Linked DNA regions of Oryctolagus cuniculus. The protein of the gene in region 1 interacts with the protein of each later gene in a pairwise test. Links are inferred from orthologs where the notes say so. Each region holds a gene or a part of one and is shown in the gene's direction. Other genes may lie near its edges. The genes, in order: NDRG4 and MAL2.

What was found.
Region 2: the proteins of NDRG4 (region 1) and MAL2 interact in binary tests that used the Homo sapiens proteins (3 or more experiments, as listed by UniProt). The two-hybrid records come from large-scale screens. The link is inferred for Oryctolagus cuniculus from reciprocal best matches to the Homo sapiens genes NDRG4 and MAL2.

Annotation. Positions count from the first base shown.
Region 1 is NC_091449.1:41,762,696-41,767,034, forward strand, and holds the start of NDRG4 (protein NDRG4), read left to right. Parts: upstream 1-1,425; 5' UTR 1,426-1,543; coding exon 1,544-1,580; intron 1,581-4,339. UniProt on the Homo sapiens protein: Contributes to the maintenance of intracerebral BDNF levels within the normal range, which is necessary for the preservation of spatial learning and the resistance to neuronal cell death caused by ischemic stress.
Region 2 is NC_091437.1:145,033,736-145,037,545, forward strand, and holds part of MAL2 (protein MAL2), read left to right. Parts: intron 1-2,188; coding exon 2,189-2,344; intron 2,345-3,810. UniProt on the Homo sapiens protein: Member of the machinery of polarized transport. Required for the indirect transcytotic route at the step of the egress of the transcytosing cargo from perinuclear endosomes in order for it to travel to the apical surface via a raft-dependent pathway.

The DNA of each region.
Region 1 (4,339 bases):
CAGGAACGTGCGCTCCATCTGGGGCCACCGAAGCCCGTCCCCAGCCGGTGCGTGGGTTGGTTCCCGGCCACCTGGAGCTGAGGGGAAGCCAGGACCTCACCGCAAACCAGCCTGCACAGAGGCCCCCTGAAGGCAGGGGCAGCGCCCCTGGACCCCCAAGATGACTTGGCCCTGCGCACGCCTCCTGCACCCAAAAGCGTGGCGTCCAGGACGTGCTGGAGCCCGAAGGGAACCTGGGTCTGCAGGACGCGTGTCTTGCCCAAACAAACGCTTTCAGGGCATCAGATTCCCTCGCTCCCCGGCGTGTGGGCCTCGGTCCAAGGCCAAGGCCCTCCCTTTTAGGGGTGGGGGAGGGGCAGCAGGTGGGAGCCGCTGCGTCGGGCGGAGGAAAACCCGGGACTCCGCGGGACGAACGCGGGGGAGAGGGTACCTCGCCGCACCCCGGGCGGGACCGGCAGGGCCAAGCACAGCTTTGCTAGGAGCCATCCACTCCCGCACGCGTTCTCCCAAGGAAACCCTGGGCTCCGCAAACCGGACGACGCCCCAGAGAGCCCCGGAACACCAGGCTCTGCCCGGTCTTCCAGGCCTTCGGGAGTCTAAAAAAAGCCCCAGGCAGGGGCCGCCCCTCCCCCGGGAACCCGACGTCGCTGACAACAGGCCTGCGCTCCGAGAGGCCGGGACCCGCAGAGGTGAGACGTGGAAGGGGGTGCGGACCCGCAAGGGGTCTCCGCCGGATCTGCGGGTCGTGGCGCCTGGCTCAGCTCCCGCCGCGGCAGGAGCGCAGTGGGCACCTAGTGCGATCCTAGGCGCAGCAGCCAGGCCTGGCCCCGCGCGACTGAGTGCCCACGCCCCCCCCCACACCCACGTGGGCCCGCCCCCGCGGCGCGCCGCCCCCAGCCCCGGCCTCCGCTCCCGGCAGCGGCGCAGGGGCTCCCGGCTGCAGGCGCCTGCACCGCGCGTTGGCGGCGGCGGTGCCGTGGCCCGGCTCCCCGCCTGCGCGTCTGTGTCTCCCGCATCACCTCGGTGAGTCTGCGGCGCCCCCAGGTCGCCGCTCCCTGGTTGTGGCGCGCGCAGCCCCAGGCTCCGCGCACGACCCCGAAGGAGCGCCGCACCTTCCCGGCCGAGCCGCCTTTCTGCTAAGCGAGGACAGCCCCCTCGTCCCCACCCAGCCCCGGCGCTCCCTCCTTGCCTTCCCCGCGGGGCACGGGAACCCCCTGCGCCACCAACCGCGCCCCGCGACGGCCGGGGGCGGCGGGGCCTCTTTGTTCACCAGGCGGGCGCAGGGCCCCTCCCGCGGTGTCGCCGGCCCCCTCCCCGCGCGCTCTCCCCGCCTCCCGGAGTTCGTCCGGACCAGGTGGCGGCGGGCGCCTTTTGGGGGTGCGCGGCCGTGCAATTGGTGGATTTTTTCGCACGGGTTTGGCGGGGGAGCGCGGCGTGGGGGGCGGCGAGAGCGCTCCTGCTGCTGCTGCTGCCGCCGCTGCTGCCGCTCGGCGCTCGCCTTGCGCGCTCCCCGACGCCACAGCCCGGGCCGTGCCGCGCCGCGATGAGGGTGCTGGGGCACCGGCTGGAACTGCTTACAGGTATCGCCGTCGCCGCTTTCCGGGTCGGAGCGGGCTCCGACCGCGGTACCCGGGGGTTGGGGCGCTCGGGTGCGAGCCCGAGGGGTGCGGATGCCAACTAATTCCCAGCTTGTGCTCTACCTGCTCCTGGGCGGAGCCCGCCCGGCTCTGCTGAGAGTGAGCGAGACGGCCTCTGGGGTCCCTGCCCGGCTCAGGGAAAGGAGCTCGGATCCCCTGCCCTCCAATCGGGGCGGCTCACTCCCCAAGAAAGGAGCGCCCTGGACTCCGGGCAGCACCCGTGCCGCGGGCGTCTCGTGTCTGCTCCCTGTGACGGTCCTTTCTGTAGGGGGAGAAGTTTCTTGACCGTTATAGAGGCCAAGTGGCCTGGGATCCTGGTGTCTTGGGGGGCCCTCTGGGGAAGTGACCAGATGCTATGCTGGAGACCCACAGGAGCGTTGGGCTGTGCCGGGTGAAGCGATTGGGACTGGCCGCCCTGAACTGGGCGGGGGGGCTGGACAGTAACACCCCGGCTTCCGTGTGCGCCCCCGGGGAGGGGTGACTGGGAGGGGGGAGGGGGACACTCGGGAGTTCCCCGTCCATGTGCTGCAGGAACGCATGTGGCTTTCAGTAAATGTGTCTGGCACCTGGAAGTGCGGTTTCTGCCCTGGAGGACCTTACAGCACTAGAGCCGGGTTGCAGGCAGGGAGGGGCAGGGAGCAGTCAGGGCACTGGAGAAGAGGTTGGAGCCTGAGCTAGGGCGGGGGGGGGGGGGGGGGGAGCCGGCGGGTGAGAGCAGGGGTGGCCTTGAAGAGGGACTCTGTGTGTGACACAGGGGTGGGGTCATAGACTTGAGGCGTCCAGGCGGCTGCCCTGGTGTGAGCGAGAGGCTTGAGCTGGGAGGGATGTGGAGCTGGAGATAGTGGGGGCAGGGCAAGGGGCAGGCTCTAGGCTGTGCATTCCCAGGGCAGGCAGGGCCTGGGAAGTGTGGGCTCAGAGCCCGCTTAGCCACAGCCAGCATCTGTCATCCCTCATCAACTTTGCCTTGGCGAGCTCTCTGGCTAGGGCAGGCCCAGCCCACCTGCCCCGGAGAACGGCCCAGGTGCTGGACTTAACCCCTGCCCGGGGCAGGCTGTGAAGCCCCATGGAGACGGAACTTCTGGGTCCTTTCCGCCTCCCCTCCCTGCTTCCACAAGACCTAGAGGAGAAATGCTCACGGTGGGCACGTGGGGGACCCGAGCTTCAGGGCCCTGGGTGCAGCACCTCTCCTCCCTTGTCAGATGGGCTCACCTGCTCCACCAGACTTGCTAAGCGGCTGGCCAGGCGGAAACAGGACCCTGCCTGTCACTGTCGGTCCCAGGCTCCCTCTGACCTCTAACCCCGGGCCTCAGCGCACCCCCTCTGTGGCTGTTCGACCATCTCTGCAGCCCTCCTGTCTGCCTCTCCATCTCCCAGTCTTGGATTTCAGTTCCCACCACTCACTCGCCAAGGTTAGCTCGCCTCTCTGGCCTCAGTCTTCTGCTCTTAAAGGTGGCGTTCTCACCGCCTTCTAAGAGGTGGTGTGCGGTTTGCTGAGATAGCACAGGCCACGCACCTGCTGGGAACAGGCCTCTCTGGCTTTATTTCCCCTCTGATTGCGCAGTCTTGGCTGCCCCCAAAATGGAGAACTCCATGTGTCCTGGCTGAGGAGCCACCGGGGATACTGGATCTGCCCCCAGCCCCTTAACCTTGCTCACATGCAGCTGTGAGAATTTGACCCACTGGGGAAGGTAAGCAGGTCACAGGGTGGCTGTTGATTGATTGTAGTGGCATACAGCAAGTGCTTAATAACTGTTGACTGAGCCCAGGCTGGCATAGCCTGTCATCAGCAGTGTCTCCAGGATAACTTTTTTAAAAAAAAAATTATTTATTTGGGGGCTGGTATTGTGGTGTAATGGGCTAAAGGACTTGGGCCATCTTCTGCTGTCTTCCCAGGTGCATTAGCAGGGAGCTAGATTGAAAGTGGAGCAGGTGGGGCTGGCGCCGTGGCTCACTTTGTTAATCCTCTGCCTACAGCACTGGCACCCCGGGTTCTAGTCCCGGTTGGGGTGCCGGATTTTGTCCCGGTTGCTCCTCTTCCAGTCCAGCTCTCTGCTGTGGCCCGGGAGGGCAGTGGAGGATGGCCCAGGTCCCGCACCCTGGGTGGGACCGGCAGGGCCAAGCACAGCTTTGCCAGGAGCCATCCACTCAAGCCAAGCCATCCACTTGGGCCCTGCACCCGCATGGGAGACCTGGGAGAAGCACCTGGCTCCTGGCTTCAGATTGGCGCAGCTCTGGCTGTGGCAGCCATTTGGGGGGTGAACCAACGGAAAGACCTTTCCCTCTGTCTCTCTCACTGTCTGTAACTCTACCTGTCAAATAAATAAGTAAAAATCTTTAAAAAAGTGGAACAGCGGGGACTCGAACTAGTGCCCATATGAGATGCTGGCATTGCAGGCAGTGGCTTAATCCACTACACTACATTGCCAGCCCTTTCAGGATAATTTTGTAGAGGACCTGGGACTCCCTGCCTGCACGTCAGCCTTACAGAATTGTTTAACTGAAGCAGCTTTTAAAAACTCTGATTTGTCTGGTTCTCTCTGGTTTTCACAATCTCCTGTTTATTAAGACCATTAAAAAAAAAGGATGTATTAATTTGAAAGGTAGAGTTACATATGCACACACACACACACACACACACACAGAGGGAGGGAGGGAGGGAGGGAGGGAGAGAGGGGTCTTCCATCTGCTGGTTCACTCCCCAA
Region 2 (3,810 bases), on another chromosome or scaffold:
ATGGACAATACTGTTTGCTGTCTGGGCGTTTACCGAGGCAGGGCAGTATTTTTTTTGCAATATTGCTACATCGATAATAGAGGCAGTTTGATAGAGAGAAAGAAGGTGGACTTTGAAAGGACACTTGCATACTATTGGTGGGAATATACATTAGTGCTATCATTATGGAACATAGTATGGAGGTGTTTCAAAAAATTAAAACTACCTTATGATGTAGCAGTCCACTACTGGGCATATATCCAGGGGAAGTGAAATCCGTAAGACAAGTCTGCACTCCCTTGCTCACTGCAGCATTATTTATAAGAGCCAAGATAAGGAATAAACCTAAGTGTCTATCACTTAGCGCTTAGGATGAATTGATTAAAAAATGTGGTATAGGAGAGTTTTTCAGAAACTTCATGGACATTGTGTATTATGAAAAAAAAAAAACATGCAAGAATTTGAAACTATTTTGGACCAAAATTAACCTATCTTTTAATTCCATTTCTTTTTCCTTTTTTTTTTTTTTTTTTGACAGGCAGAGTAGACAGTGAGAGAGAGACAGAAAGGTCTTCCTTCCATTGGTTCACCCCCCCCAAATGGCTACTGTGGTCAGCATACTGTGCCGATCCGAAGCCAGGAGCCAGGTGCTTCCTCCTGGTCTCCCACGCAGGTGCAAGGCCCAAAAACTTGGGCCATCCTCCACTGCCTTCCCAGGCCACAGCAGAGAGCTGGACTGGAAGAGGAGCAACCAGGACAGAATCTGGCGCCCCAACTGGGACTAGAACCTGGGGTGCTGGCGCCGCAGGTGGAGGATTAGCCTAGTGAGTCGTGGCGCCGGCCTAATTCCATTTCTTAGTGAACTTTTCAAAGTATCCTCCTCCATCTATACTAGTCAGCCTTTACAAAGAAGGAATCATGTCACTTGCAACAACATAGATGAACATGGAGGACATAATATCAAGTGAAAGCAATCAGGCACAGAGAAAATACACTGTATGACTGCACTTGTATCTAAAATCCAAAAAAGTTGAGTTCTAAGAGTAGAATGGTGGTTGCCAGGGACTGGGAGGGAGAGGGGAGCTTCAAGTGATATTGACCAGAAGATACAAAATTTCAATTAGAAGGAAAGAATAACTTCAAAATATCTATTATACAGCATGGTGACTAGTTAATACCAATGTATTGTATTCTTAAAAATTATCTAAGAGTAGACTGTAAGTGTTCTCACCACAAAGGAGAAAAGTATGTGAGACAATGTATACATTACTTAGCTCAATTTAGCTATTCCATTATGCATATATATTCAAAACATATTGTATATGATAAATGTGGACAATTTTTGTCAATTAAAATATTTTATAAAAAAGAAAGTGGACTTTTGAAGCAGAGAGACTATGTAAGTTTGAATTACCCCTTTAAAAGTTAATTTTTATGTGGTTCTGGGACAGTCATTTAACTGAAAAGAAATTCTCTGTTTGTAAAATGAAGGTAATAAATGTGGTTGTAAGGATGAGTAATAATATGTATAACTGGTATATGGGAGCTGTTAAAAATAAAGAGCAGTGTAATAGTGGTATATTAATTCAGGTGAGACAATTTTAATAGAGTTATGCTTCACATTAATGCCGACAACATACAAAATAGCCTAATAAATAATTCAGTTCCCAGATTTTTTTAGAAGCATATGATGTATTTGTTTGTAATAGAACATAGGGACATATGTCTTTGAATTGTATTTTAAAAAAAGTCTTCCATGACTTTCAATGTATGGAATGAAGATCTTAAATATGAAACTAGTGATTTCTCAAATATAAAATAATTTTACAGTTAATATAGATAATTGACTAAAAATATATCATTGGAATGCTGTTTTACTTTTAAAGTTAGTGTATTGTATCCCTTTTGTATCTTATGTTAACTAATTCTGATCTCTGTGGCTTCTTAATCCACACTGAAATTATACATTTCATTATAAAATTTAGTCTTTCAGAAGGTTTGCTACTTTACCAATTAAGACTTATAAGTTGTTTTTCATTTGCATTCTAATGGCCTAACATTGCTAACACAGTGCAAATACACCACAAGTATACTTAAGACTGTTTGATTAAATGTTTTTATCTTCCTGAATTTAAACTTGATTGTTTGAAATAAGTAATAGAAAATCTTATTATTTTTCATTGTAGATGTCTTTCCTCTCCTCTTTCAGGATTTTGCCTACCATTTTACAGTGTTTGTTTTCTACTTTGGAGCCTTTTTATTGGAAGCAGCAGCAACATCCCTGCACAATCTGCATTGCAACATGACCATGTCTGTACAACCTCTCCTGAGTAATAACCAGTATAACATAAACGTAGCAGCCACAGTGAGTATTCAATAAGTACAGTTCACCTGCATTTCCTCTCCTCCCTCAAGGTCTCTAAGAATCTCCTGAGGCAACACCAGTCTTCTATAATAATAGCCATTAGCATTAAACATATAATAGCCATTTATCTGTACCATAACCTTATGAACAAAGTACTGTTATCAACCCTAGAGGTATGGATGATTGAACTGGAACACAAAAAAAGGTTGACATTCATGGAAAACTACAGCAAGGCAGTAGTTCAACTTGGCTTTTCACAGCAAAGTCTCCTTTTGAAAGGGAATTAATTGTGCTTTTTACTTCTTTTAACTTTCAAACATGGTAAGGAAGAATTGTTCCCTTCTTTGCTCTTTAGTATTCAATACCTATTTATAATTCATTTTAACGCAGTGAATATTTACTGCAGGCCTTCTGTGTGACAGGTAATTTTCTGAGTGTGGGGAAAGGGGTGAAAAACTTGTAATGCCTACAATCGAGGAAGTGCAGGTTAGTGAAGGAGACCAATAAGCCAACAATTACAGTAGATGACATACAGAGGAAACACATTCCAGTGGAAAACTTTGGGATTTTTTAAATCCTCTTCATTAATGGGATAAATTTGTCATTTTGTATTGATATTGGTAATTTGAAAAGTGATATTATTTGTGTTCTTATAGGTAATTTTTAAGATCTCAGAAGTCCAAATTATTTCCTGAAATGCCTTAATGTTTAATATGACTGTCTAGCAAATTAGTCACCAGATGTTTTACTATTTTACCCAATTAGCCCACGAATAACCTGGTACTTCCTTATAGCCATTGAAACTTGTTGGAAGCACCCCTGTACAGTAAAATTTTCTACAGTGATAGGGACATTCTATATTGTGATGTTAAATATGGTGGTCACCAGCCACTTGTGGCTATTGGGTAATGAAAATGTAGCTAGTATTACTAAGGAACTGAATTTTTGTATAAATAGTGACATATGGTTAGTTGCTATCATACTGGACAACACAGGTCTAGAATCTTGATTTTGAAAAGGGAAAGACATGATTTTAAGAGCTATTAATGTAAGTTTTACAAGTCTGTGTTAGGATTTATCAAAATTCATTGAGTGCTTATGATGAACTGGACTGAAGATGGAATTACAACAGAAAGAAGACATGGTTCTAGCTTTGAAAGATTTATGGTTTATATCAGTGATTTTGACTTTAAGAAACCAGAGCAGTATTTAGCCTAGTGGTTAAGATATCTGAGTCCTACATCCAAGTCCCTGGGTTGGATCCCCAGCTCTGACTCTTAACTAACTTCCTGCCAGTGCACATGCTGGGAGCGAGAAGGTGGACTCAAGTGCTTGATTTCTTGGCACCCACATAGGAGACCAATGTTATGTTCCTGGCTTCTGGCTCCAGCCCTGTCTGGACTCTGGAACAGCCCCAGCCATTGCAGGCATTTGGAGAGTGAACCAGTCGATGAGTACACTGTCTG